4 linked regions of the Lepisosteus oculatus genome follow. The protein of the gene in region 1 purifies or fractionates together with the protein of each later gene. This does not show direct contact. Links are inferred from orthologs where the notes say so. Each region holds a gene or a part of one and is shown on either strand. Other genes may lie near its edges.

Region 1 (7,880 bases):
TTAAAAGAAACACCTTAAAAATATTAAAAGGTGTTGATGTTTTACATGTCATTGTGAATGACTGTAGTTTCCCTTGGACTCATAAAGGTCAGCTGTCCACGACAACAACAACAAAAAAAAAAACAAATCAAAGTGTTCCCCCACCTGGACACACTGTCCATTGCATTTTTATGTCTTTTTAGTCCGCATCAACGAAAAAAAAACCCTGAAACTTATATTCTGAAAGAAGGCACAAACCACAATTATTGTACAAGACTGGATCACAATACACATAAGAGCTAAAATAAAGGAAACACCTATATAAACTGTCTTCACAGTGTGTTGGGCCTCGTGGGCTGCCAGAACAGCTTCAATTAATTCAATACGCTTTGCTTTGAAGTGTCAAGTTTTATCTGAACATAAGAAACGTCTCAAATGAGATGAGCGTGTTCCATAGTACTGCAACCCTCCTGAACCTTACTATTCTTGGACAGTGAGACACGAACCAGAGGACGAGGGCGGAAATTAAATCGATGTAAAGTTGAAAACAAAAACAGGAGGCACCTCCGTGTGCAGGGGGTTGTGGGAATATGGAACAGCTAAACCCTCAAATCAAAATCCAATCAAAGTTTATTTATCAAATGCACAACAACACAGCGTGCAGCAGTAGTTGCTGGCAATGAAATGTCTTTTCTACGAGCTCACAATAGAAATTGAATAAAATAAACTCAGAGAAAACTCAATATGAATAGAGCTGCTATGTGTCCATGGTGTATGCAATGTATTATGTCCAAGTAGTGCAGTATGATGAATACAATGAGAACTGTATGTCCATGTAGCCATTACGGGTGATATGCTAAAGGAGCTGCAGGTTGGCTATTTAGCAGTCTTATTGCCTGGAGGTAGAAGCTGTTCCATAGTCTGTTGAATCCTGCATGTTATTGAAGCGTCTTTCATCAAACGATGAGATCCGTGGATCAATGAACTACCAAACCAGGCTGGATGGGCAGAACGGCCTCCTCTCTCAGGCGGGGAGGACCCTGGCGTGGAATGCCGGAGCACGGACCACCGCAGGACCTCGGCAAGCCGAGAGGGAGACTGAGGTGCGAGATTTTCTTAAACCACGCCACCGGAAAAAAAAACAAGCCAGAAACGCGGCCGAGCGCCCGTGTCTCCGACGTCGGAGAAGGCCGGAGCGCCCCGCTGACCTGCTTGGCGTTCTCGATGTACGCCGCCATGTACTCGTAGGCGGCAGCCTGGGCGTTCACCCGGGTCTCCGTGCCCTCCACAGGCAGGGCGAAGCTGTCCATGATCATCATGGTCTCCCCGTCCACCTTGCCCAGCATCAGGCCCATCACCTCCAGGTTGCCGCCGGACCTGGCGTGCATGACCATCTTCAGCAGGGCCAGGGCCGAGATCTTGCAGTACTTGAAGTAGTGGTGGCTGCAAAACACGCACGGCCAAACGGAGAGAACTGCGGTGAGCCACCTGTCCCCCCCGTCGGATTATTTCAGTGCTAATAATCAGACACTGCCCCTGGTCTCTGAGGCATCAATCTCTAGAAGTCAACACCAGATGAGGTGCTGCTTTTAGGCTGGGAGGGACAAAGACAATAATAATAATTTCTTACACTTATATAGTGCTTTTCTGGACACTCCACTCAAAGCGCTTTACAGTAATGGGGACTCCCCTCCACCACCACCAGTGTGCAGCCCCACCTGGATGATGCGACGGCAGCCATAGTGCACCAGTACTCTCCCCACACACCAGCTCTCAGTGGGGAGGAGAACAGAGAGATGAAGCCAATTCATAGATTATTCTTAGGTCATGATTGGTAAAGGCCAATGGGAAATTTGACCAGGACACCTACTCTTTTTGAGAAACGCCCTGGGATTTTTAATGACCACTGAGAGTCAAGACCTCGGTTTAACGTCACATCCGAAAGATGGCGCCCACTACAGTATAGTGTTTCTCCAGTATACCGTGGCATCAGGACCCCACACAGATCGCTGGTCCCACTAACACCACTTCCAGCAGCAACCATAACTTCCCAGGTCGTCTCCTATCCAGGTACTGACCAAACTCAACCCTGCTGAGCTTTACTGGGTAGCCAGCTGCAGGGTGATATGGCTGCCGAGCCAGTTCAATTCATTCAGCTCAATACGTATCACTGGGCACTGCCGGCAGTGCTCTGGTACTCGGCACTGGAGAAGCCCGACCTCTCTCTACAAAATCGATTGTGAGGATAATCAGAGCCTAACGAATGCAACCCATCGTATTATGTTCCAGGGAAATTGAAAAGGAAACATTATGAAACTTTTCTTTTTATTTTAAACTGTCAGCTTTTTTAAAAGCACGATCAAGAAATAATCAAGAGATCCTCATCCAGAAAACCGCAAGCGGAGAGACCTTTGACCAAACCATACTGCGTTATGAAATTTGCGAATTTCTGCAAGTGTACGAGTTTTGGCTAGCAAATCATTTAATAAACACGCATTAAATAATCTTTTGTCTCCTTTTTTTTTTTACTAAGAAAAAGCGGTAAGAAAATGAATCAAAAGAAAACAACAGTGAAAGCACTGAAACGGGCCACCTAACAGTTACGTTACAAAACGCATCGCGAACAGAGGTTTGTATGCATTTTTTAAAAAGAAACTCACTCTTTTGTCCACGGTTTCGCAGCTAGGATCTCTTGCTGTTGTTTCTTGTCGTATTTATAAATTTCATCAATGCTCTGAACTTCCTGCATACTGTTGGAGAGCTCCCATGTCTTCTGCGCCATACCGCCCCCGGCCATCTTCCCAGCTGAAACGCTCTCTATCTCTGTGCGTTAGATCAATTAAACCTGCCTCGCCCTTCGGAAGAAGATAACCCCCCTACAAAACACCCTTGAGAACAACGGAAATGTAATTTTTCTTGCGATGTTGTAGCTAAACTTCGCTAACGATCGCCGGCGCTACCTAACAACACAGCCATGACACGGACAACTACCACCGAGCCCACCCTGGGGTGGTCTGAAAATGACAAGAACCCGAAAATGGATGCCGACAACCACAATCACTATGTGTAAAAAATACAAATACAAAACTAAGAATTTTCTCAGTCTTTAAGTTATCGAAAAATCTCTATGTGCAACGCATTCTAAAGAATATTACAACAACAAAAAAAGAAACCCGTGACTTCAATGGTTCGGTCCAGACGGCTTCGGTGGGACGCGAGCGAGCCCTTGAGGTGATAGAGCCCCCTGCTGGCGGCTGTCTGCAGCTGCACATTTAGTTTCCAGAAAAGGAATAAATAAGGATTTCCTCCCAGTCCAGAAACATGCTGTCAGGCCAACTGATGGGGTGTTTCTGTCTGTGTCTTCCCTGTGATGGACTGGCCCGAGGTATACTCTGTCTTGTCCCTGTAGCTTGCTGACACAGGATCTGGATCATCTGCGATCCTGAATTGGAAGAAGCAGTTAGCAAGTGGATGGAGGGATGTAATACATGAATATATTTTAAATTCATATTAGTTTCGTTCATTACTCCCTGGTGGCAGAGTCTAACATAACAATCCAACAAAAACGAACATCATCAACAAAGAAGACGGTACAACTGTGTTTCAGGAGATGAGTTTTTTTTTTACATTGCTTGAGAGTGAGATTGCAAAGATGATAAGATAAAACAGACAAACTGGGCTAACGTTTCCAATACAATAATGTGTGTTAAAACAAGCCTGGTCAGTACCTGGATGGGAGACTCCTGGGAAAAACTAAGGTTGCTTCTGGAAGAGGTAATAATAATAATTATAATTAATAATTGCTTACACTTATATAGCGTTTTTTGGATACTCCACTCAAAGCGCTTTACAGGTAATGGGGACTCCCCTCCACCACCACGCTCACCACACACAAGCTCTCAGTGGGGAGGAGAACAGAGTGATGAAGCCAATTCATATTTGGGGATTATTAGGAGGCCATGATTGATAAGAGCCAATGGGAAATTTTGGCCAGGGCGCCAAAGAGGTGTTAGTGGGGCCAGCAGGGGTCGCTCACCCTGCAGTCTATGTGGGTCCTAAAGCCCCAGTATAGTGACGGGGACACTATACTGTAAAAAAGGCGCTGTCCTTCGGATGAGATGTAAACAGAGGTCCTGATTCTTTGTGTTCATTCAAAATCCCAGCGTTTTTCACGAAAAGAGCAGGGGTGTTTCCCCAGTGTCCTGGCCAAATTTCCCATTGGCCTTTATCAATCATGGCCTCCTAACGATCCCCGCCTCTAAACTGGCTTCATTACTCTGCTCTCCTCCCCACTGAGAGCTGGTGTCTGGGGAGTGTACCGGTGCACTGTGGCTGCCATCCCATCATCCAGGTGGGGCTGCACACTGGTGGTGGTGGAGGGGAGTCCCCATTACCTGTAAAGTGCTTTGAGTGGAGTGTGCAGAAACGTGCTACAGAAGTGCAAGCAATTATTATTAATTCTATCCCAGAGGATTGAGAGGATCCACGTCATCCACAGCAAGCAAGCTAGAATGGACCAACGGCCTCCTCTCGGAGAGCAGAGTGAAATTTAAATGGTATGAGCCCCCGCTCTTTGGAACAGTTCAGTTCAGTTTATTTGTCAGTTTATTTGTCATATCCACAAGTGCAATGAAATGCTTATTTGCACGTCTGCTCCGATACCAGGACATTAAGGAAACACCAACACAGAACAGCAGCAGCAGCGACAACAACATACAGTACAACTGACATACCGACGTACCCACGTAAATAACATACAACGTAAATAGAAGTCAGTGGCTCTGGACCTGCTTTAAACATACAGTGACGGAGAATTGCTTTAATAAAGCAGATGTCATTTTTTATTGATAAAGGCTGGAAGAATCCGTTTGAAAAACAAAAAAGAGATCTAGACTTGAAAGAAATCAGACGTGAATTTGATCCACAAATAACCCCAAACACAGGGGATCAAAGATCACCAGGATCAAAGAACAGGGTCACCAGGATCCCTTATGGGACAGCAGTGTATAAGTGTCCCTCCAGTCCACTAGGGGGTGCTGTGTAATTCCCTGTGCTCTGGTGTTTGAGGTTCTCCCGCCCCTCGCTCTTCTTCCCTGCAGCACCGGGCGGCAGTTCCCTGCTGCTGCTGCTGACAAGTTGCCCTGCGGGCTTGTTGCTGCTGGGCGGCGGATCCGCTGTGTTATTCGTTGAAACCCGGCGGCCGTAAAACCACTCAGGACGTGGACACCTTCGTGTGTTGTGTTTTTTTTCTCCCAGGGGAGGATGCGCGCTGTTCCGCTGAGGATACGTTGAACTTGTCGTACGGTACGGGACCTTTTCAAAAACATGCAGTTTGTGTTCGAGTCAGTAACGTTGAACTGTCGTGTTTAATACTTTGCTGAAGGGGGTTGTTGTGTCTGGAGCGCCCTACTTATCTCGAATGATCCTCCCCGGAACCGCATATATTTATTGCTAAAGTGAGAAGTCTACGTTTTAAATGATAAGTTTCCTGACGGGGATGTTTGTCAACTATTTGTCGATAAGCTGCAGTTAATATTAGCGGTTGTGCTCGGCGCCGCGAAGTGGCCTAAGACGTTGTGTACAGTGGTTGCCTAACAACGGGTATTAAAGAGGCAGTGGCACTGATTTCTACGTTATTTTTTAAATTTTATTTCATTGGAAATAATCTGAAGACAGTGATGCCCCTGCTTTTTTAAGCTTTTTTTTCTGAAGACTTAATTTACGTTAGTATTAAAACAAATTGAGCGACTTAAAATTTAAATATTTACGCCGTTTCACAAAATAGTACGGCAAGTATTCAGGCCAATTTCACACAAACTTAGAAACCGACAGGGGTGTCCCGGTATATCCACATCTGTTCACGCTTGTTAGCAGAGCTGCATGATTTGTGTTTTTGTTCTACAGGAGCTGTGCTGGGTCTTACTGCTTTGCTATGTGGTCTGTTGGAAGGAATGGTTTTATAAAGGTGACTTTGAGATTCCCAGTGTCGCATTTAAGGTTTACGTGTTGTGCGTAATGGTGAAGGTGGGCTGTTTTCATTCCAAAAAAGTGTTAAGTAACTGATGTCCCAAATGTATTAAGGCAGGTCAAGCATTCTTATCAGAAGGGGCAGTTAATGTAACTGGCACTTCTACTACCTAGAAAAACAGCCAGTTACGTTTTTTATTGCTTTCTTTGGAGGTTGTTTTCCCAAAAGTCGATTACATCTTGAAACAACAGGTTCTACCCCCAGCTGTCTGTACCGTATGTATAATGACCTTTATGTTCTGTATTTTGGGGAAGGGTTCATTTAGCCAAAACGTCTTCCGAGTTCAGGTCTTTTAACCTTGAGAGTAAAGACTGCTGAGCGCTTTGACAGTAAGTGTGAGTAGTGCTCTTCAGTGATTTCTTTCCCCCTCCATTTGTGTTTTTGACATTGCACATGATTCCTTATAGATACCTTCACAGATATCAGGAGGAGCAGGAGTACTTTTGGAAGGGGGGAATTATGTGAGGAAGTGCAAAAGGAATAAAGAACTAACCTGTGAACTTAACGATCCAGGCTGATTAAATTGGCTTCTGGCATTTTGACTTTGCTGGTAAAGCAGTTTTGAATGCCTTTGAAGAAGACGCTTATCTGGGTTATAACTCTCCCAGTGTTCAGCTTACTTGGAAGTGAATACGTGGAAAAGCAGTACTTTTTTCTTTAAAAAAAAGGTAACTTAATAGAAATGTTCTTACAATACTGTGTTTTCTCCCATGTCTTTAAAAAGCCTGATTTCTAGATACATCTACATTGCATATTGAGTGACTCATCTGTTTTCTTTAATTAGATTAATACTTATAGTAGTCATAGAGCCAAAGTGTAATCAGAGAAAAGTGCTTTGTTCTGCAGTAAGTCCCATCTTCCAGAAGCAGAAGCTGAGAATCTTAGTAGTGTCTAAGATAATTTTGTCCAGTGCTGCTTTAACAAAGTGCATGTGTCTGTGTTGCTGCATGTTAAAATATGTAACAGTGCATTGTACGCATGAACACGAATGAGTGCCAAGCCCAGTACAGTGCAGTATACAGTACATCTAAAGGCCACGCTGGCATTTCATTGTTTACTTTGGTGGTCATGGTGAGCAGGTTAGTCATCAATTCGAATTCTAGGGTTGTAGAAGATCTACATATTTTGTTTGTGGAGAGCAAGGGCACAAAAGTTTACATGTTTCCTGAATACATTTAAAATATCCAAAGTAGAATATGTTGCTGCATTTTGTGTCAGGCACCCTGGCGTTCTAGGGTATCATTTCTTTACTCTTTGTATTACTGTATGTGGCATCAGTGATGTGTCTCCAACAGTGCATATCGAGCACCTTTTCATTTTAGCCAAGATGTGAATAAGGATCTTTGTTCAGTAATCACTAATTTTATTCCGGAAAGGCAAAACATCTTTTTGGGCTGTATTTCAATAATTCTTTATAAAATCTCACATCAATATTTCCAGTCAAGGGAAAGTAATGTTTTTGTTTAAAATAACTTTGCATTGAGAGAGAAGATGTCTTAATTGTGTTCTACATATTAAAGATAGGTGAACACTGCAAAAGATACTGTGCTGTACAGACAATGGCATGTGCATTCACAAGACAGCTGTTATGTGGCAAAAGAGAATATCTAATAAAATCAATAATTTATTTGACAAGGCAATACTCATTTGTACCAGGGCATTTTACTGAAACAATCGGATTGTGGTATTTTTCTTAAGGGCACAGCAGCAGTGCGTCACCCAAGATGTGAACCTGCGGCCTTCCAGTTACATGTCCAGAACCCCACCTGCTGCTTTACGCTCCTGCCCCTTGGAACATGCAGAGTACAGCTTAGTACCTTGACTAAGTGGATAGCTGTGTTGATATTTTGTGTTTCTCATGTAGGAAAATGGA
Region 2 (7,538 bases), on another chromosome or scaffold:
AAACTGCCACACCCCAACTAGCACTTGCAGGCATAATGATAGTTAATAAGTAAAAGTACAAATTAACACAGAGACACATTCATTTTTCAAGCTCGTATTATTAAGAAAACCTGTATTCCATGTCCAGAAGGTAAATAAAAGTACACAAAACAAGAATCTTTCACCCTAGGTGGTAACAGCTGTCCCATTTCCATTCTACAGTTAACAAAAAACCTTGCAGTAAAATCAGTTTGTAGTTTGTCCATACAAAAACTATTATATAGAATGTGCCATGCTTTCATGCTCAGTGAAACAAAGAAAATCATTTATAAACTTCCAACTGAAATTTGATAGTGTGCCCTTTAGATACTGCTACATTTCCAGTAGAGATCTCATTTTCAGAATAGCATGACCCGGAAGAAAATGGCTTAACTACACTGTTTTTCAGCGTTTAAAGCCACACCCCTCTACTCAAGACACCAATTCGTCCTCCAATTCTCACAAGCATAACAGGGATTAATTTCTGTTTGTAGTACACAACACTTTGTAACTCATGCCATTACTATAAAAAAGAACTCAGTTACTGGTAATTTTTTTACTAGCATTTTCCTAGAATTATGCACTTGGTAAACATGGAGTACCTCTTGTGCTAAGGAATGCAAAACCAAACACTTTAACCCTCTCCTGATCATTCTAAATAAGGAAGCATTTAAAATTTTGTTTACTTAAAGCAAGATAAACTTCTAAATAAAAAACAGATTATCTGAATAGGGGACAGAAGGTTTTTGGCTGCCTCCTGTTGAGTGAAAAGGTATTGTTCAGTAAGGTGGAAGAATAAATGGTATCATAAAGTAATCTTAAGCTAATTTTTAAAAAAAGCACAAATACATTTTTTGCCGTTTATCAGCATTTGAGAAATGCATGTAGTTCTAATGCATTTTGCGGCTCAACTATAGATTAACCTTAAGCCCTCTGGACTAGTCATTGTGGGCTGCAAAGTGATTATTTTTAGGGTTAATGCTAAAGAATTCACAGATGTGTCGCACTTCTGCGTTTGTTTCTAAACGCAAACTCAGTTACTAATGGAACCAGCTGTTTCCATTCCTGATTTTTTCAGGTCTTTCTCTCAGCCTTAACGTTTTGTTATAAATCAGTTCCTATTAACTGGGGAGGAAATGAAGTCTACTCGGACACCAAGCCCCTAAGAGCTAACTGGGGACTGTGAGGCCGGTAACGTTATTCCACCCAAAGTGGTCGAGGGCGCAGCTCCAAAAACCCGCAGGGGGCTGCATTCACGGCTGAGTGCAGTTTACTTGCGACGCAAAAGTGGTGTATTAGTACTCAAGTTCTTGTTTTTAACCTCAGCATCCGTGTAGGTTGTACAATACAATTACACGTATTGAAGGCACATCTTACATCCGACACTTTTGTAAATCATGCATTCCAAATAAAATGTCTGTTCTTCTTCTAGTTTTTAATACAGGTTCCATGCGTAAAAACACACACGGTAAACCGTCAGACTAAAATAATTGTATCCTTCTTTAATAACCTGATCCATTCACCAAGGGAAACAACAGCACTGACTCGGGGACCCCTATATATTTCACAACTGAATTAACCTACAAGCTCAGAAGGAGGTCACCTGTTTCGATGGGTACAACATAAGATTGTGTCATATTAAGAGAAAGCTGTCCCACTGAGAAAAAACGAAAGAGTATATTTCAATGGAAAGCCTTGCATTGTACTTAAAATGCGACTCAACTGGAAAGGGCTACTACTACCAACCCTACGCAGGGGAATCGTTTAAGCAATTACATTGTATACGCCGTCAAACATTTGTTGCATTTCGTTCGCTTATAAATTAACTGCGAAGTAACAAAAACAACACCGTTAAATTTACAAATATTCCTTTAAATCGACTTTAACAACGGGCAGATTCTGATACTTAAAGGCAAACAAAAAGCACTCGCAAAGACGGCGGAGAAAGAAACTAATACTGACACGAACAACGTTGTTTAAAATACCTAGAAACGACACCAGTACCAACCAAACCCTTTTATCTTTGCAGCGAGGGCAGAGTGGTCCGGTTTTCAACAGTTTACGCGGAACCCACCGGTCTCGTCTTCCTCTCCGGAGCCCAGGTTGGATTTCAATGAAAAGGGATACACCGGAGGAAAGCGCGGTGCACGCTGTGCTCCCAAGCGAGGTCACTAGACTACAGTTCAGCACCCCACGCAAACAAATCCACTATTTCCATACTGACTGCGAGCAAAAGAAAAAAATAAAACACATCTATGGGACCGTTAGAGAACACTTCGCATTCAGTAGTTTCGTGCAAATATTCGTCACTTGATGACAAGCTGAAAAGAAGTAATGAGTGACGACTTCACAAATCAACGGTCCTATTGCATCTGGACTATAATTGAGCCCTATGAAACTGTACTCCACAGACATCTATTGACGCTATTGGAATGTAAATGGTTTTTAAACCTTCCACAGGCGTGCAACGCCGTACTTTATTTTATATATATATATACGAAGGTGGGAGATCCGGCTCAAATAATAATAAAAAAAAAACGTTTTACACTTCACATGGAGCATTTGAGCAACATCTCATTGTGACATTTCTCTCTGATTCTTACCTGTTGCGACTTCAGTTTATTTCCAGAGAATGCCTATTTTGTTGCAAAACACAGATAAACGGAAAATCCGCACTTCGCGTTTAAAAAGTCCTCAGTGCATTTATGAGAGTAAACGGTAACACCCCTCCGACTTTAACCAGACCTGCGGGTTTTTCCCCCCCTCAGTTACAAGCTCCTATTACCGTAGTTGATGCGCGGTTACAGCAGGACTGCAGACAAACACTTCGCCGCCATAGAGCAGAAAAGAAGAGGAATTTTCTTTGGGAATTACTCGACCGGCAAGGCCAATTTCGAGGCACAATGACAACGAGAAGTTCAAAAACCGAGCAGAAATGAAGAAAATATCGAACATATAATTGTTTGGGTATTTTTCCTCAGGCAGGTTAAAAGACAACTTGTCTTCTCTTCTCTTCTGGAAGGGTCTTCTGGGGTGTAATTGGATCCTGTGGTTCCGCTCTACGCATTAATCCAATTACTGGATTTAACCCTATAGGTGCCGATGCTAATTGTGAAGAGGATAATGCCACTGTTTTATCGATTCAGAATTTTGAATGATTAGGCATCGTTTTGTATATTGCATCACAAGAGCTTCTTATTTTCTGAATATAGTCCAGCTGGAAAAGGTGTTCCGCGGGAACATCCCGGAGACGTACTCAATTTAATGCCACGGAGGATTTTCCGCTCAGGTTCAATATTAAGCAGTCTCTGTACTTTAGAACTTAATTTTCTAAAATAAATGACATCATTAAGAAAAACAGCACTGCAGAGTGTCAGTAATTTACAACGCCTAAAAGTCAAACTGTGAATGGTCAGCAAAGATGGGAATTAAAGAAATGTTACACACTGCAGGAGACCCTTTGACCCAGCTGGTTTGGTAGTTAGTAGGTAATTAATCTGAGAGTCTCATTCTTCTGTTTCAGAGAGAGAAGCATACTTTTCAAGGTAGCTGAAGGGGAATAGCTCATCTTTCTGTTCCTGAATGAGTTTTAAGTGCATTTTCCTGCTGACATAGATAATACCTTACTTTCAGTCCTCTTCGGTGTGCTCATAAATCAGTGGTTCCCTATCCTGGTGCTGATGACCAACACACCTGTTTGTTTTTGTTCCAGCTGAGCCCTCAGTGACACAATTGAACCCTGTAATAGAACTGCTTCTGACTGCTTATTGTCTTAATTAAAAAAAAACATAGAAAATGCATAAGGATGAAAGTACCAAAAATGGCATCTACTTCCAAGGTCAAGATAGAAGCTATCAGACTGGACTATTTATAGATGAGGAGTGGAATGATTTATGACAAAATAATTGATTTGGTGATCTGTCTCTTTCAGGTGTTTATCAAACACCCTTACACAAATAGCCCTCAATCATTTTTGGATTTATTCTACAATATTACCAGTGTGAGTTCAAACTTTTAAGGCTTTAAGGCTACCTACAAAAAACAGTGGACTGGACTTTCCTAGAGTTTCAGTTTCCAGGCACCCAGGATTCATATTTCTGTATTGTCTTTTGGAATGATCTTAACGGCCCGGTTGTCTTTAAGTCTACGTGGTTCTAATTTGAATCAATCTGCTCCACAAATATTGCATACAACCTTGATCATATATATCAGCACCATCATGTGTGAACTTCAGCTACCTGAGTCTTCAGTCTACGCTTTGATTGTCTAATGTCCCTGAATATCGATGATAATTCCGATCAATCTGATCTTCCCTAACACACCTGAAAACTGGTGATATGTGATATATTTTTAAACGTAGTACTCACAATAACCTTGATTTGTCTTAAAACCTTTACGAAATTGGCCAAAATGTGCATAATGATTAGTAGACAATTGTCGGAAAGTTGTCTTCCGCTGAAAGAAAAAAAGGGGGACGGAAAAGTGGATGTATTAGTACTGCCACCTGCTGGATTAACAAAGAGAAAATGTTACAAAACAACCCGGTCGTGACGTCATTAAAAACAAAATCGATCGTGTCTGCGTCCATGTGTTAGGCAAATGAGCGCTTAGTATCGATCACCCTCTAAAAAATCACCATAAAGAACCTCATTCAAGCGTCTTTTACAAAGGATTAGGTGACGTATGACTGCACGGGCTTTGTTTTAAGATGGGAATTTTGCTGTTCGTAATTTTATTTAATGATGGTGTTACGAAACTATAGGAGGGGAAGTAGAACCCAAATTGCTTGTTAAAAATAGAAGTGCATGTGTTTTTTTTAAACATCGAAAAGCTTGCAGTGCTTTTGAATTGTTATTGTTGTCTAAGAATGCTTTGAGAGGCTAAATGCATACATTTCTTCTGCATTCCTGCACTTTTTGTAAGAGCAACTAGTCCCTTATGTTAAAGCTGGATATCTCCCGTATTCTCACGTTATTGCAAAGTTATGTTCTTCAGTCAGATACCAGGAAAATGCTAAGCGTTTAGTTAAACGAGGTCTAGTAGTATTTTGTAGGAATACATTACACAGAGCACTGACTTGAGTGTGAACTTATTTAACCCTTCATGCACAGAAATAGTTTTCCTGTTCCTTTTTATCCGACACACCAGGTGAACAGCACAAGGAAAGCGATGGCCAAAAAGAAAGTTCTCCTGGACAGCACGGTGCCCAAACGCCAAAAGGAAAGGCCATCCACCTCTCGGAGCAAACGAGCAGAGCCTTCGGAAGAACCCCTCTCAAGAAAGCTGAAGAAGAAAAAGGAAGGCGTTCCGGGGAAAGCAGGTGTGTGACTGGAGCTCATGGCTTTGTCTCAAGTTGAATTTCCCCAAGCAGGGACGGTTCAGCAATAAGGCATGCCTGCCCAGCTCCCCAACAAGTAGTGGGCGGAATGAGACTGCGGCGCCAGCGGTTCCCCTCTGAGTTGCTGCTCCATCTGCTGGTGCTTGTGCTCAAGCAATCAGTACCAGAAGACAAGGGAATGTTACTTAAAAAACGATGTGCATGGTTGTTACAAAGCGACCTTTTCCACTGCTCCTTACTGTCGTTTCCTCTGACTTTATGGAATTAGCCAGAGGATATTCCTGTACATGCGGTCTCTTCGATTTATTTACACTTTAAATGACTTTGGTTTTAGAAATGTAAGAATTACCATAAACAGCCAGTGGGATTTGACTAATGTCATGTACTGAAAAAAGTAAAATCCTGGCTAATTCTTTACAAAGTTCGAATAACTCAAACTTGTAGTGGTATGAGAGTATTGCTTTGATTTTGCTTTTCGATTGTTTTTTTTTAACTTCTAAATTTCAGTGGGACATTTAAAAAAGACAGGTTTCCCCAGGTTTAACCCCGATAATGGTTATGTTTAGTGGTAGGTTTGGCGAAAATGATGGTTTTTGTAATCATTCTGGTCTTGTTCTTATTTCAGAAGCAAGATCTGAACTCCAGAATAACAGAGAGAGTGTGGGGTTTCAGAAGGCGGCCAGGCAGAACAGTATTGTCCATTATGTGTATAAACACTCACTGGGTCAGAACATCCAGTCACAGATGCGCCAGGTTTGAATTTCTTTTTAGAGCTGCCGTCTAAAGAACGTTTTTTTTCCCCTTTTTGTCAGAAAGATAAAATGATTTTGTAAGGTATAGCAGAATAATGGTAACTCTCTTAGTGATTTTATCAAGCCATGACCGCTCCCTGTTACACAAACATTTGACATATAGTCAGTCACATACGGAGCGAAAAAGAAAAAAAAAAGTGTGCTGTTTCTGTCTCCGGACATCGGAGTTGTATCTTAAGAACACACATTTGAAGCGTGCTTGTGAGAAATAACTGCACTGCCTGTGCCATCCCTCTGTAAATCTGGCCTCTTTTCTTGTCTGGAAGACCGATGTGGCTCTCCTGTCTCTCCAGTGCCTACAACAGCCATTCCTGCGCTTTCTGAACTCCTACAGTCTCTTCCATGCAGCCAGCCCATTCGATCGCAGGGTGACGTGCCTGGAGTGGCACCCAACGTGCCCCAGCACCCTGGCAGTAGGCTCCAAGGGGGGGGACATAGTGTTGTTGGACTACGAAATGTCAAAGAATACCAAGTTCATCCAAGGGGTGAGTGGTTTCTCTCCAGGCCTGGCAGGTATATACAGTATGCTGTGGTTTTGTCTGGGTGTGAATTCCATTCCAAGAATGTAGTTAGCACACCGTGATCAGTGTCCTGAGATATTTTCCTTTTGTGTTTTTTTTTATATTTGTTTAGATGGGAGCTGGGGGCTCCATAACAGACATGAAGTTTAACCCTTTCAATCCCAGTCAGCTGTTTACATCGTCTGTCGGAGGCACGACCTCTCTGCAGGATTTTACAGGCAACACTATTAAAGTTTTTGCCAGCACTCATCAGTGGGAGTAAGAAAGTTTTGATGCAGTTTTTTAACTTATTGTTGACTTTTAAAAATGCCGAAGGGCAAAACTAGACACTTGTACAGTGAATCTTAGTATAGTTTAATGGTGTGTCATGACTTACTATATATTTAATTATTGCCTCAGATCCTTTAAGTCTGCTGTAAGATTTTGTTTTTCAATGGAGGTAGATGCTTCTGAAAATACACTAACACTCTGGGAAGCAGCTACGTAATACTCCAGCTTCTCCAGCTGTTTTGGTAAATCTTTGCTATTTTATGGAATTCTATGGTCATTTTTTCATAGCTGAAGCAGAAATAAAAAATAAATCAAGCATCAGCAAGTCCTGTCTGGCCATGGTAAAGCAGAAATATTCTTAGTATTCATGTCAATTGTGAGCACTGCAGATCTTTAGCTATATTCAGATTTCTGACCAATTTCCTTATTCTTTCCAAAGCAGTGAACTGAAATACACAGTCCAGCTGAGCTGGTCTTTTGTTTTCCTGTGTGGCATTTACATTGAACCTAAGTAATGCCATGATGAACCAGTTTTTAGAAGCGCTACTGAACTTGAAAATCCATGTTTTTTTAATGGCA
Region 3 (8,008 bases), on another chromosome or scaffold:
GTTGTTTTACATTTCGAGGTTGCGATAACAACACGGATGCTACTGTCGCACCTGAGTGGGATCCGTCACTACGAGAAGGACGCAAAGAAAGTGAAGGAGGAAAAAGAGAAGGCGAACCGAGCATTAAAACAGCAGAGGGCGGCTGCAGCAGAAGATAAGGCCTTGGGGAGTCAGGAAGTTCATCCCAAAGACAGGAAGAACGGTGGCAGAGAGCCATCCAGCAGGGGCAACGACAGCACCAAGAGCACCAAGGACGCCAAGCAGGCCGCCAAAAAGGAGTTTGAGCAGGAAGAGTACTACCTGAAGGAGAAGTTTGACAGTGTCATCCAGGCCCTGGACCTGTTTAAAAATGACCCCCTGATTTTCAAGCCAGGTGACAGATGACGACTGTTCTATAAAATTGGGAAGGGTTGCTGGGTGAGACAGATAAACCATATCAAGTATCTTTAGGAAATGTGGCCGTTTTCACTATAAAATTCTCTTCCTTCTGATTCACACATGCTAATTCTGCCCAAGAAATGACATGTGTCTATGTGGTTATCTAGATATGTTTTTTTTTTCTTTTTTGGAACTGCTTATTGGTCTCTCTATCTTCTAAGAGAGGCACAGGGAGAAAGGCAGGTTATTTAAGTGTCTCAAAAAAGACCATGTATGGAATATTTCATTTAGGATATCCTTTCAAGAAAAGCTTTTTTTTTAGAGAACAGCGCTCCTTGAGTCCAAAGGCTTCAAGTGGCAATTGTGCATATGCATTTTTCTTCAGCATTTCCTAAAATTACATTTTGCAACTTTAAGGGTCCTCATTTTCCTTCGCACAGTTTTCTGCAGCTGCAGTTATCAAAAATGGTAGTTACCGTGTGGGGCTGAAGCAGCGCGCTGTCTGTGTCTGCAGGCAGCTCTTTCCTGTACTCCACACACGCCTTCACTCTGCTCAGCGCGGTGGTGGAGAGGGCAGCAGGACGGCCCTTCCTGGATCACATGATGAAGATGTTCCGGGAGCTGGGCATGCTGAACACCGTGCCGGAGGAGAACGACCGCATTATATACAACCGATCGAGGTAACGGAGAGACCTGCAAAGTCAAATTTCAAAGCCTGCTGTTTAAAAAAAAAAAGTCTAAATTCTTGTGGTTTATTTTGCATGGTAAGGTTTGCTTTTTGTTGAAAATATTGCACTAATGCTGAGCACTAAGCATTCAGTGCCACACATGGTATTACATCTTTCAATTACAGCTTCAATTTCTCATTCCATTCATTTCTCACTCTAAGGTTTCCGATCACACCTGGTTTGATTTCACTACTTTGGCTTCTTATCCATAAGTTCATTTCTTTTAAAAATTAAAACTCCCAAAACCCGAACCACTGTCTATGACCAAAGGATTGTCTTCATTGAGATTCTGTCACGTTAGCGTTGATCATTTCAGTTTCCAGTCACTGGTATCTAGATGACTGAACTCTTTTAGCTGTTCTGCATCTAAACTCTAAAAGCTGTGACCCCAGGGAAACACATATGGTTAATTTGCAACTTATTTGAGATCATTTATATTTTTGTTTTTTAATATTTGCAGTCTCTTTGGGCTGACTCAGATGATCTGTTTTTGTTTATTACTTCACACTGTGTAGTGAATTGGGATGCCATCTGCATATGATTTGCATGGCACAAACTAAAATGTTGGACGTCAACAAACCCTAAAGATCTGCAATGCAAATAAAATTGCAACAGTGCTTTTTATAGTTTCACATTAAGGGAATATGTGCCTGTAAATTTTGGCAGCTGTTTACTATGCCATAATGTGGGAAAATGTCATGTTAATTGATTTCTGGGAAAACTGGCCCTGGTGTCAGTGTGTGCCCTGCGATGGACTGGCATCCTATCCAGGGTGGATCCTGTCTAGTGCCTGTTGCTCACCAGGATAGGCTCGGGCTCCCCTGCGACCATGGATTGGAAAAAGCAGTTCGAAAATCGATGGATACAAGAGTGGTGGTTAGCATAACAGCTGCAGGGTACTACAAGTTGATCCAATTCTGGTTCTCTGTGTCGGGTCCATGTACTGTCTGTTTTTCTGTTGACTTTTGCCAGGGTGCTCTGGTTTCCTCCCATCATCCAGAGACATGCAAGTTATGTTTACGTCTTATGAGTTTGTCCCCCTGAGAAAAGCAGAGGGGTTGTACTCGTTGTTAGTGACTCGGGAGCAGAGCAGCTCTGGTATGTCACTCTCCCCTGTGACTGGTCCTGTTTTTGGGACGGCTCTAAGCAAGCAGGAGAGAAAGCGTTGAAAGGCTGATTAAGGAAACCCATGTGGATGAGTATTAGATCTCATTAACTTCTCATTAAATGAGAACATTACTTGTCTTTAAGTGGGAATCTAACACCATCTGTGTTTTTTTTTCCCCTCTTTGCAGGTTTTATCATTTCAACAAAAAAGGCCGCATTGTGAACTGCCCTTATGTGGACAACTCCTACAAATGGGCAGGGGGAGGGTTCCTGTCCACTGTTGGTGACTTGCTGGTGTTTGGCAACGCCATGCTTTACAGCTACCAAATGGCGCATGTTAAGGATGGCAGAGGCCTCCTGCCGGGCTACCTCAAGCCCGAAACGGCCAAAGCCATGTGGACCCCTGTGGATGGAACTGAAGGATCCTGGGATAAGGATGGGCAGTATGCAATGGGCTGGCTGGTGGTGGAGGAGCAGCAGCAGTTTGGACAGTGCAGGAAAAGGCGGCACTATGTTTCACACACAGGGGGAGCTGTAGGGGCCAGTAGTGTGTTGTTAGTCCTGCCCTTCAACCTGGCCCAGAGCGAGGGACAGACATTGGCTCCTCCACAGGGCATCGTGGTGACTATTATCAGTAACATGCAGTCTGCCGGTCTCAACAGCACTGCCCTGAAGATCGCTCTGCAGTTCGAGAAAGCCAGGAATGCTTGAGAGAGCACAGGAGGCTGTCTTTGTGCAGCTGGTGCACCAATCATTTTGAAGTAAAAATGCTCGTATTTGAGGTCTTTTCTGTATTCGCAAGATTGGTATCTTTTGCAGTATTAAAGGAAGAAGAGGATTCAATTTTTAATGTCATTTTAAATACATCTAAAAACTGCTTTAACAGTGGAAAACACGTGGCTAAAAAAAAACATTTTATTGTTGAAAAGGCATTTTTTAAAACTTCAGCATACCTTTATGTTTAATCTGTCCGAGTCTGATCCATTAAAAAAGTTTTTTGTCCACTGACTGTTCATGTTTTACACATGCTGGGATCACAGAAGAGTCTGAATCGATGTACAGTACAGAAGAATTAGGATAGCGCCACGGTTACTGCTGCCAGCTCACAGCTCCAGGGCGGTGGATTCAATTCTAGATTGGGGTCCCTTTTTTGTGGGGTTTGCATTCTCCCTTTGTTCTCGTGGGTACTTGCTCGGTGCTCCAGTTTCCTCTCGCCTGCCAAAGACATGCTGGATAGGTCAATGGCATCTCTACATTGAACCCCCTGTGCTTGTGTGGATGCCCTTCAGCTGTCACCCTATAAAGAGTGTGTGTGTTTCTGGGACAGGCTCAGGGTGGATGTGACCCTCTCCAGGAATGCGTGGCTTTCTCTCAGTGAATAGGTGATCATTCCCATGTACAAAAACAGAGTAATGTCAGAATCTGCCTTTCCTACCTTGAATACTGACTCCCTCATTGAAAAATGTAAGCTTCTCACGACAGTTCTGTAGTAACTCCTGACATACACTAAGTTCCTAAGGAATAGAAACTATGGCCATGAAGTGTAGGACGATATTGTAGTTCCGCAAGTGCCTCTCCATGGTTATCTGCATGTGTTTTGAGTTGTGCACTGATTATAGACTTAGCCCAAAAATATTGCATTTAACTGAGCCCCAGAAATGTTAGTTTGCTGAGAGAAACATTTGACGCAGTTTCCTTGTCAGGAATGTGACCGTAGTATGAAATAATGATGAAATACCATGTTTTATGTGTAAAACTTTGACAGCTGGGGCATTCGTTTAGGAATTAAATTGACATACAATTGAAATGTATTAAAATTATTTTTAAGAAAAAGCCACATTTTTCTGGCACTCAACTTTACATTTCTAGTGTATGTTATGAGTGCCTGAGACTTAACAGATTTTCACATATTTGTCTTTTGATTGTTCTTGTACATTAATTCATCCAAGGAAATATGAATCTATGAACCATTTTACCTTCACTTATGACATCAATGTACATTTGTGTAACAAATCTACTTTGACAGCACTGCACAGAACAGAGAAAGTTGATCTAATCTTTAAAGATAACTTTTTGAATGAAATATATTTTAATTATTTTATTAGCACAACCCCAGCTCCCCATACATACTTACCAAGGCAATAATGCTGTCAGTGCACCTGCAGAGGTAAGGGAAATGCTGACTACGGTACTGTGGGTATTGCATGAGATTTAAGCTATCATTTGGTCTACATGAGAGACCTGTGGACTATAACCTCCTGTGAGGTGATCATGTGAGATTAAGATAATGAACTCCAATATAAATTACCTACATAAAGTTTGTAAATTTCAATGAAGGTATATTCGCTTTTGAATACTGATAATACCGTTGAGAAGGTTTTAACAGGGAGTAGGACTTCAGCAATATTTGTTTTGTACTCTAAAGTGATGACCACGGTTGTACACAGTAGTAAAATTACATCTCATTAGTGCACTGTACATTTATACGTGGTGGTCCTTGGTTTAAATGTAAAAATCTTTAATTTGAATTTGAATACGCAATTTCATTTTCGATCCAACGCTGTTTAGAACAAGTAAAATATTTAACATAATTATTTTTAATTTCCTTTGCAGCTTCTACAGTGTTTCCCGGTTTAATAATTTGAGAAATTGACCTGTCTACCACCTACAGTATATCTGGATCTAGATCCGTTAAAACTGCACTCCTGTTATCTTTGGGCACAGCTGTGGAGGAGATAAAATAATGTACCACTAGGCGGCAGTAAAGAAATAAAACGGAATAAAAATGGAATTGTTCACTTCCGATTGATGGTGAGTTCAGGGGTCAACATTGTTCCCTGGGGTTGTTTTAGACACTCGGAAGTGGAAGATGGATGCAAGTGGTGAATTTTCTATTTCAGCTCCAGAAAGTAAAGCTGGATATATACTTAGTAATGTGGCCGAGGTGGTGGAGAGGATTTTGACATTTGTACCGACCAAGTCACTTCTCCGTACCGCTTGGTAAGTTCAGATTCTCGTTTGCAGGACTTATTAACAGTCCCTGTAGACTTCCACTCAATGTTTTCTGCAGAACACGGAGCCTTGAGACAGCACATCGGCGATCTTGAGTTTTATTCATGAACCCGGCTATTTTTTTTAATCGAAAGATGTATGCATAAAGGAGATCAGAGAAAAGCTGCGTCTTGTGCTCTCTAAAGATGTAATGACTTAATTGTATTCAGAATCTCTTGTCTTGTTCATATCCTGTACTCGATCACGCTTGGGTTTTTGACTGCAGAGCCCTTTATATATGTAGTATGTTTGAGAGTTTCTTTGTATTTGTTTTTTTCGACATTTAAACGCAAAATACCAAGACGTCTTGCTTGTGAAAATGGGCATGTGATATATGTGATCTGGCACCGCAGGAAGTCTGCGGTTTCACTTACTTGCTGAAACATTGTAATCTGGTATTTTTGTATCTGCTTGGTACGCATTGATTAGCAGTACAGCGCATTGTCTTTACAAGCAAGCAAAAGGTTTGAAAAGACGTGATGTCTCATGCCTTTTAAGGAAAATCTGGTATTATAGATAAAAATTCCTGATGTACTCCAGCAATTGCATAATTCACCTTGAAAGTGAGCTGTTTTTACTCCCTTTCCTTGGTAACTGTAATCCTGAGGACAGTTGTCTCCTGTGATAGCTGTTTAACAGTAGAAAGCCGACCTATTTAGTGAGCATGATATTTTCACTACATCTTCCACCTTTGCTGCTTGAAAAGCACAAACAGGATTTCTCTTTAAATCCTTCAAAATCAAAAATGCTCTGGTAAACCAAATGCCTTTTGTTGTTGTTGCTGTGTTATAGAAGGACTTCTTTTGATATTTATTGTTTTGCCTTTGTGCTGCTGTCGGCTGTCCCGGTAGCGTCTGCAGACTCTGGAGGGACTGTGCCCGCAGGGTGCTGAGGACACAGCAGAAGATGACCTGGGTGTCCGGTACTGGCTCCTCCAGCTCGGATGGACATGTCTTGTTCAGGACTCTGGCAGAACAAGTAGAGGTAAGGGGACACTCCTCTGTGAGTGATCTCCCTGGCTAGCTCTGTTTTCGCAGTCACCTCCGTCCTGCACTCTTTTTTATGAACTATTTCATAAACTATTTCCCATATTAGATCACATTAACGTATAATGTCGAAGCAGGTGTTTGCAAGCAGTGTAGATTGGAAAGCAATTGCTTTGAGCTTTAAAGTCCTTTATCTGGGTTTCAGTAAAGGAATATAAATGTGCTGTTTTGCAGAATGTGTACTTGCTCCCCCGGACAGTCCTCCTGATGGCAGACAGCGACACCTTGAACAGACCTGATGGCACCTACAAGCAGAAGAAAGGTAACAGACTGGCTCATGAGGAGTCCTGCTCTGCAAGTATAATTTAAAAGTCTTGGTTTCCCGAAGGTGCTTTGATGTGAGGTTTATAATTTTTAATTAATAATTGCTTACACATCTATAGCACTTTTTTGGACACTCCACTTAAAGCGCTGTACAGGTAATGGGGATCCCCTCCACCCTCACCAGTGTGCAGCTCCACCTGGATGATGTGACAGCAGCCATAGTGCACCAGTACTCTCCCCACACACCAGCTCTCAGTGGGGAGGAGAGCAGAGTGATGAAGCCACTTCATAGATGGGGATTATTAGGAGGCCATGATTGGTGAGGGCCAATGGGAAGTTTTTTAATGACCACAGAGAGTCGGGACCTCGGTTTTACTTCTCATCTGAAGGACGGCGCCTTTTTACAGTATAGTGTCCCTGTCACTAACCTGGGGCATTAGGACCCACACAGACCTCAGGGTGAGCACACCCTACACTCCCCATTAACACCTCTTCCAGCAGCAACCTTGGTTTTTCCCAGGAGGTCTCCTATCCAGGTACTGCCCAGGCTCACACCTGCTGAGCTTCAGTGGGCTGCCAGTCGTGAGTTGAAGGATGACATGGCTGCTGGCTGTTTGGGGTTGTCATACTATTTGAAGTGTGCTTGGCTAATGAAGTCATAGAACAAAATCTAAAATGATTTTGATGCCATTGGACTCAAAGTACGTCTCAGCCAGCAGAAGTGCTCAGTTGGAGCGCAGGTTGAGCACTGTGTGCCAGGATGGCATCATGTTTAAACCTGGTGACATGACCCGTGGAGGCATGGAGGCACACAACTGCCAGAGCAGGGCAGTGCCTGGATCCTCACGATTCCCAGTGCCTCCGCAGCTCCTGTGACCAGCTCGAGCCTGGCAGGCCTGCAGTGAGTCAATAAAAGAGCCGGCCCTCCCGGTCCTCCTGCACCAGGCCAGAAGCATGCGCCCATCAGAGGAGTGTGTCTCCAGACAGGAGGTGCTCCCCATGTGGACACAGGGTTTATTGCAAGAGAACTGCGCCTTAAAACAGGTGCTGATTCAAAAATAGGTAGGCACACAACAACAACAAAAAAAGTCAATGCAAAATTGAATTAAAAAAAAAGGACATTTTAAATACCCTTGAGCGAAATGTAAATGTAAAACAGACAATGGAGAAGTCATGGTAGATTTCTTCTGCTGTTTCACCTTAGCTGTAGTGTTGTGTGGACACAGACGTAATGTTGCATGAATAGCAGAACTCAGATTCATTAGAATATCCCACTGTTTCTGCAGGTTTAATTTTGTGGGCATACATAAATTACTCCACTGGCCGAAACTCTTTGAAAATGTGTATAATACGAAACCTAGGAATTATGTCTAATATTTCTGGTAATTAATATTGAGCGAGTCTCATTTAACATAATTTTATGTTATCAGATGA
Region 4 (7,140 bases), on another chromosome or scaffold:
TGGTCTCACACTACATCACACAGAGATCAAGTTCCTGCTCTATGTAGATGACCTGGTCCTGGTGTCGCCCGAAGAACAGGGGCTACAGCAGAGCCTGGCACTGCTGGAGGACTGTCAGACCTGCGCGCTGCCAGTCCATCTGGACCCAGAACAGCAGAGCCTGGCACTGCTGGAGCAGGACTGTCAGATCTGCACACTGCCAGCCCATCTGTACCCAGTTCAGCAGAGCCTGGCACTGCTGGAGAAGGACTGTCAGACCTGGGCACTGCCAGCCCATCTGGACCCAGACCAGTAGAGCCTGGCACTGCTGGAGCAGCACTGTCAGACCATCTGGAACCAGACCAGCAGAGCCTGGCACTGCTGGAGCAGGACTGTCAGACCTGGGTGCTGCCAGCCCATCTGGATCCAAAACAACAGAGCCTGGCACTGCTGGAGCAGGACTGTCAGACCTGGGCACTGCCAACCCATCTGGACCCAGACCAGCAGAGCCTGGCACTGCTGGAGCAGGACTGTCAGACGTGGGTGCTGCCAGCCCATCTGGACCCAGAACAGCAGAGCCTGGCACTGCTGGAGCAGGACTGTCAGACCTGGGCACTGCCAGCCCATCTGGACCCAGAACAGCAGAGCCTGGCACTGCTGGAGCAGGACTGTCAGACCTGGGCGCTGCCAGCCCATCTGAACCCAGTTCAGCAGAGCCTGGCACTGCTGGAGCAGGACTGTCAGACCTGGGCACTGCCAGCCCATCTGGACCCAGAACAGCAGAGCCTGGCACTGCTGGAGCAGGACTGTCAGACCTGGGCACTGCCAGCCCATCTGGACCTAGAACAGCAGAGCCTGGCACTGCTGGAGCAGGACTGTCAGACCTGGGCGCTGCCGGTCAATCTGGACAAGAGCAGAGTCATGGTTTTCCAGAAGAAAGCCAGATCTCAGGGAAACAGGTGCCAGTTCACACTGAACAGCATGCACACAGTGAAGCACACATCCAGCTACACATACTGTACCGGCCTGACTATCAGCTCATCTGGGAATTTTGATCCGTCAGTGAAAGCACTGAAGGAGAAGGCACTCGGGGCTTTCTACGCAATAAAAAGGAAGCTTTTGAACATCAACCAACAAGAATCTGGTTCCAAATATTTGGTAGTGTAATCCATCCCATTGCCCTGTACAGCAGTGAAGTGTGTGGCCCAATCTCAGACCAGGATTACACTCAATGGCAAAAACACTCCATAGAAACTCTGCACATGCGACCCAAACTCCTACCACAACAAGACTCTGCTGAGCCCAAAACAGAGCCCCCAGAGCCAGCTGGTCCTGAGGCTCACTGACCTGAGCCACACCGACAGCAGCCAACCTCAGGACAGCACTGCTAGAGCACCACAGCTCAGACTCAAGCACATCACAGCACAGATCAAACAGCAATATCTAACACACTGGGTCACACACACACAAACACAACATAAACTGGAATTCTACAGAACCCTAAACGGACAATACACACTAGCCGAATATTTGACCAAGATAAGAAACAGCAAAAAGAAACAGACCCTGACGAAGTACAGGCTCAGTGACCACAGCCTGGCCATAGAAACTGGACACAGGCAGACCTGGCTGTCCAGAGAGGACAGGCTCAGTGACCACAGCCTGGCCATAGAAACTGGATACAGGCTGACCTGGCTGTCCAGAGAGGACAGGCTCAGTGACCACAGCCTGGCCATAGAAACTGGACACAGGCTGACCTGGCTGTCCAGAGAGGACAGGCTGTGCTCCCACTGCCAGCGGGGAGAAATAGAGACAGAGGTGCACTTCCTACTGCACTGCGAGACAAATATTCTGGGATTAGACATTCTTCCCCAAATGTACAAATCTAACGCCAGAATTTCCACACCTACCAGAATCACAACAACTCCCAATCCTGCTGGGAGAAGGGGGAGGGAACTCAGTTGAACTGGCAGCCCAGTATGTGATCGCCTGTCCCAGCCTGGGGAACAGTGAGCCTGTTTCTCAATAATAATAATACAGTGTGTGATCTCCTGTCCCAGCCTGAGGTACAGACAGTGAGCCTGTCTCTCAATAATAATAATACAGTGTGTGACCTCCTGTCCAAGCCTGAGGAACAGACAGTGAGCCTGTCTCTCAATAATAATAATACAGTGTGTGACCTCCTGTCCAAGCCTGAGGAACAGACAGTGAGCCTGTCTCTCAATAATAATAATACAGTGTGTGATCTCCTGTCCCAGCCTGAGGAACAGACAGTGAGCCTGTCTCTCAATAATAATAATACAGTGTGTGACCTCCTGTCCCAGCCTGGGGAACAGTGAGCCTGTCTCTCAATAATAATAAAAATAATAATAATAATAATAATAATAATAATAATAATAATACAGTGTAACTCCGGATTGCGTGAATGAAGCCATACCTTCCGGACAATGTGCTAAAACAGTAACAGGCCCGGGTCTACCTGTGCGTAATGGTCTCTTTTTAAAAACACTGAAATTAACTACTGTTGATAACCCCACGCCGTCATTCCTCACGAATCTCTCGGACCCGCACGGACAACAGCGGAGAACGAGCACCGGCCGCAAACACGCCGAATTCAAACCGCCGCCTGTCTTCGCTTTTATAAACCAGACACACACACAAACAGTCTAATTAAACGCATCATTGCAGCCGAGCGTTAACTCTTAAATATGGCAACTGAAACCTGTTTTAGAGGTGAAGGGGTTTCAAAAATACACAGGCGAGGATTACCAGAGGGGACCGCAGGTACTGAAGCGAGCCCGCTAGCTGCACATTCATATTTTATTAACTTATTATTCCAGCAAGTATTCACCAGCTTGGGTATTCAACAGTTATACTCATATTATGGATATTTACTACGAATTTATTTACAAAACGTGCACAAACTCACCAACACAGGACCCGAAAACGCCACTAGCGGACTGGCGGAGGCATGCGAACACTGCAGCTGTCCGTGTTTGCCGACGGACCAATCAGAGGACGTCTCAGTTAATTGAATCTAAAACTCGGCTGCCTATTGGATAGAGTCCCGGAAGTATTTTTGTGCCGCTATCAAGTTTGTCCGCCCTGCAGACTCGCCTATTATAAAATTACGTGTGATTTGAAACGTAGATATACCTGTCTCGGAAGAGGCGTGTGCGCGATTTCTGCGCTATTATCTTACAAAATTCTCTCTTTAGATGTTTAACTCGATTGCAGGTGTCACGATTACCTGCTACAAAATGAGCCTGTTGCAAAACGGCTTTCGTTAACCAATAAACACCAGCGATTGCTCGCACGGTATGCATCAAACAACGTGAACCAGATGCCAGTGAATTGCACAGTTAAACAGTTTATTTAAATTCAGTGTACAGACATCAATCCAGAACACCAGTAAAGCACATTGAGACAACATATGATTGGTCTGTGCTCCCCAGAGCCTTAAAAGCAATTCATAAGTAGACAAATAAAAAAAATCATTTAATAAAAGTTACATTAATATGATCACACGTATGCTGTATGTGCACTGTAATCGCACTCAGTTACAGGGATCCTTGCAGTCGTGCGTTTAGACCTCACACGTGTTTCCTTCGCGGCCGGCGGCTGTTCTGTGGCACAGCAGGCGACGGCTGCTGGAATAGGGGGTGCTTCTTCAATGCAGCCCCCAGTCTCTGAGCAGGGGAACCCCTTCAGACGGAAGCACCTCCAGCACTGCGCCACCCGGCGGGCCGCCCTGCTGCTGCTCACCGCCCACGACGCGTGACCCTCCGCCCGGCACCGGGTCACGACCAGGTCTCGGTCTGAAAGCGGCCCGACCTCTCCAGCTGACACAGCAGCGCCTCGGCGTCCGGGTCCGAGAGACCCCCCTCCGCCTGGAACACGGCTTTCAGGGCATCGGCTACAGCCGCCGGCATCTGTTTGGCATTGCTGAGGCCGGAGGAGACCGGGGACACACAGAGGAGAGACCGCCAGAGCTGGCGATGAGCGATTTAGGAGCTGTACAGGACGGCGCTAGATCTCTGCTGAGGTATTAAAGGCATGCCATCGTTGCACTGAGCTCTTTAATAATAATAAGAAGAAGAAATTTATAATTTATATAGGGCACCTTTCCAAACCCCAAGGATGCTATATGTAAGGATCAGCATTTTTAAAAATACAATAAAAAAATAAAACCAGACCTTGCAGGACACACTGTAAGACAAGCAGACAAAGCCCCCCCGCAAAAAAGCGGAGTTTTAGGTTCAGATTTAAGAAAACAGTCCAAGAACCTGCCTCTCGAAGAGACGCAGGGAGGGCGCCCCAACACCGGGGGTATTTACTGCTGGGCACGGCGTGCAAACAACACAGCGTATGGAAGGGAGGGTGAGAGAGAGCTGGGAAACACCAGATTATTCAGAGCCTTGCAGGTCAGTGTTCTGAGTGGCATTTTATTTCTGTTCATGTTCTTTTTTGTGTGTTTGTAACGCACCCCAAATCAGATCTTAGGGAATGTAATATATTTTCCTGATGTCATTTGAAATGGCTGTAAATTGTATTCTGAACAATGCGGTCAAGCATAGTGAAAGTATACATGGCCGTCTCAGAATATTTCAGGATTGTTCGTGGCGGACTCACCCGGCGATGTAGACGTGGGCGGCCCGGTTGGCGATGAGGTCCCAGAGGAGCCCGGCCTGCTGGCGCACGAGATGCTGCACGTACACCTTCTCCTCCTGCAGGCACAGCCAGAGGTGAGCCCTGCTGCCCCGCCCCTCACTGCACTGAGGGCAGGCCCCTCCAGAGCGGCGTCACACCAGACTACACTGCAAGGCCATGCTCTCTACGGCACTAGGCTGCGTTATAGTGAACCTGACACTAACGCACTTTGCTGTTCTCTGCTTTTCAGCCTGTAATACACTGCACTGTTACCTTGTTTTATTGCACTGTAATATACCGCACTATACTCAAGTACTGCTTACAGTATTGTTCTGCATTGTCCTCTGCACTCTGCCATTCTAGGACTTCATCATGAAAACATAAGAACAGTTACTAACTAGAGAAAGAGCTTCAGTATATCCTGCTCATTGGTTGTCAGTAGCTTACTGGACGGCACCACTCAGTACTGTACAGACTGATCATGAGAGGCAGGTACAGTCTACCGCAAGACTGAAGCAACAAAGCACTCTGGAGAGTGTGAGTGTGGGGGGAAGGAGGAAGACATTGGTAACACTGATCTAGTAGCCTGGTGTGGTCAGGTCAGCACTGGAATTTGAGATCACTGAGAAGCAGGTGGTGTTGGTGGACCAGCAGGTGGTGCTCTTCTCTCTGGGCCAGAATTTCTAAACCGGCGCCCCAGTATGGTCACTGCGGACACAGCGCTGTAGGAGGTGGTGCCACCCCTCTGGGTAAGAAGTTACACCAGGTCCTGGACAATCAGTCACTGGAGAGTCAGAATAGTAGTGGTGTACACCAATGTCCTAACTCAATTCTACTCGGGGCTTAAACAACCTGCCTACTCTAAAATCCCCTCTGAACTCAACCACTGGAGACGTTTCTCTCTTCTCCCCCTGACCTGCTGCACAGGTGGGGCTGCTCTGGTAGACGATCTGCTCTGTATGGGAAAGAGCCGTGTAAACGGCCTACCTGGTCCCGAGAGAAAGCCGTGAAGAGCGTCAGACGCCCGGCCTTCTGCATCTCCTCCCACTCGGAGCGGCAGTAGAAATCCCGGGACTCCGAGCGACAGCCAAAAAACAGAACGTTCCCTGAGGGGGGGGAAGAAAAATGAGGAGATACAGTGGGAATTCCGGAACGAATCCAGAACGGAAAGCTACAGGGAGAAGGGAGGAGAGCCGCAGGGGAGGCAGGACCGACCTGTCCTGTCCAGGGCCGTCCTCTCCTGCAGGGCGGCTCGGAAGGGGGCCACCCCGGTGCCGGGCCCTACCATTATCACAGGGGTGTCGGCGTCACTGGGGAACCTCAGGCCTCCTTTCTTCACCCACAGGGGGACGCGCACCTCCCCTGCAAGATGGGACATTCCGCAGTCAGATAAGAGCGACACGAGGCCACAGGAAGGGAATGCTGGGAAATCCCAGAATCCCACAGACAGACAATCTGCGGCTGGACTGCGTTCTCCGTCAGAAATGCAACACCAGCCCGGGTTTTCTTCTAAAACTGTCAGGATTCTAGCACATCCCCAGTCCACGACACGCTGCTCGGCGGTCACGCGACAGATCTGCACCGCGTCGCGTCGCAAGGCTTCACGCTTCACTTTACTCTGTGTGGGGTCCAGGTAGGCCAGCCAGGACGAACAGAGGCCCCTGCGTGGCTTGTGGAGCTTGGTCCTGTACTGCACCACCGCCACCAGCACCTGGATCCGGTCAGGGTGAGCCTGCGGGAGAACAGGAGAGCCAGGAGTGCCGGGAAGATCTGCCCCGCCTCCCGTGTGCCCTGTCTTGACCTTGATCCCTTGAGAGGTTTCAATAGCATCAACTCATCAACATCCACCAACCCTCTATCCTCTTTGGCCAGGTTTGATATGGCTCTGCATTCAACCGGCGCTTCACCGACCTCAATGTCGCGTCATTACTTAACTGACATTTCATTAAATTTGAGCCTGCGGCCGACCACCACTTGAGCAGCGGAGCAGTGGCTCTGTGGCTCAGGATCTGCCCTTGTTGCTGGGAGGTTGCCGGTTCAAATCCCGCAGCCGGCAGAGGAATCCTACTCTTTTGGGCCCCTGAGCAAGGTCCTTCACCCCAACTGCTCCAGGGGCGCTGTACGATGGCTGACCCTGCGCTCTGACCCCCAGCTTCTCTCCCTGTCTGTGTGTCTCATGGAGAGCAAGCTGGGGTCTGCGAAAAGACAAATTCCTAATGCAAAAACTTCTGTAGGGCTGATAAAGTGATCTCTCTCTCATCTCAAATGAGCACAGAAATGACTTTATAAAAAGCAGGGAGGTATTTTTTGGAACTGCAGGCGAATGGGATGGGCGGCGCAGAGCCTTACCAGCAGGGAGGAGGCGATGGAGAAGGAGCGGGGCTTGATTTCGGGGAAAAGGTCCAGCAGGTAGTCCACGGTGAGAACTGCTGTGGTGTGGGGGAAATCGGCCAAGACCTGCAGGGGGGGGGGGGGGACGAGAGAACAGCGCCCTCTTGAGGACCGGAGGAC

The links.
Region 2: the proteins of cops5 (region 1) and ddb2 purify together in Homo sapiens (affinity purification with mass spectrometry; 10 studies listed by BioGRID and IntAct, counting the BioPlex papers as one, with this or other methods). This does not show direct contact. The link is inferred for Lepisosteus oculatus from reciprocal best matches to the Homo sapiens genes COPS5 and DDB2.
Region 3: the proteins of cops5 (region 1) and fbxo22 purify together in Homo sapiens (affinity purification with mass spectrometry; 3 studies listed by BioGRID and IntAct, with this or other methods). This does not show direct contact. The link is inferred for Lepisosteus oculatus from reciprocal best matches to the Homo sapiens genes COPS5 and FBXO22.
Region 4: the proteins of cops5 (region 1) and asb6 purify together in Homo sapiens (affinity purification with mass spectrometry; 3 studies listed by BioGRID and IntAct, with this or other methods). This does not show direct contact. The link is inferred for Lepisosteus oculatus from reciprocal best matches to the Homo sapiens genes COPS5 and ASB6.

The regions. Positions count from the first base shown.
Region 1 is NC_090701.1:51,534,477-51,542,356, forward strand, and holds the start of cops5 (COP9 signalosome complex subunit 5), read right to left. Parts: upstream 3,008-7,880; 5' UTR 2,777-3,007; coding exon 2,640-2,776; intron 1,423-2,639; coding exon 1,188-1,422; intron 1-1,187. Other genes in the region: centrosome and spindle pole-associated protein 1, read left to right, coding at 7,876-7,880. UniProt on the Homo sapiens protein: Probable protease subunit of the COP9 signalosome complex (CSN), a complex involved in various cellular and developmental processes.
Region 2 is NC_090716.1:4,973,902-4,981,439, reverse strand, and holds the start of ddb2 (DNA damage-binding protein 2), read left to right. Parts: upstream 1-4,527; 5' UTR 4,528-5,121; coding exon 5,122-5,338; intron 5,339-5,981; coding exon 5,982-6,109; intron 6,110-6,461; coding exon 6,462-6,653; intron 6,654-6,801; coding exon of another isoform or gene 6,802-6,947; intron 6,948-7,538.
Region 3 is NC_090700.1:57,540,012-57,548,019, reverse strand, and holds the start of fbxo22 (F-box only protein 22), read left to right. Parts: upstream 1-5,002; 5' UTR 5,003-5,082; coding exon 5,083-5,213; intron 5,214-6,115; coding exon 6,116-6,248; intron 6,249-6,484; coding exon 6,485-6,572; intron 6,573-8,008. Other genes in the region: lactb (serine beta-lactamase-like protein LACTB, mitochondrial), read left to right, coding at 19-373, 893-1,058, 2,402-2,924. UniProt on the Homo sapiens protein: Substrate-recognition component of the SCF (SKP1-CUL1-F-box protein)-type E3 ubiquitin ligase complex that is implicated in the control of various cellular processes such as cell cycle control, transcriptional regulation, DNA damage repair, and apoptosis.
Region 4 is NC_090719.1:2,800,597-2,807,736, forward strand, and holds the start of asb6 (ankyrin repeat and SOCS box protein 6), read right to left. Parts: upstream 3,006-7,140; 5' UTR 2,909-3,005; intron 1-2,908. Other genes in the region: ndor1 (NADPH-dependent diflavin oxidoreductase 1), read right to left, coding at 3,780-3,924, 4,612-4,706, 5,617-5,735, 5,845-6,361, 6,979-7,086. UniProt on the Homo sapiens protein: Probable substrate-recognition component of a SCF-like ECS (Elongin-Cullin-SOCS-box protein) E3 ubiquitin-protein ligase complex which mediates the ubiquitination and subsequent proteasomal degradation of target proteins.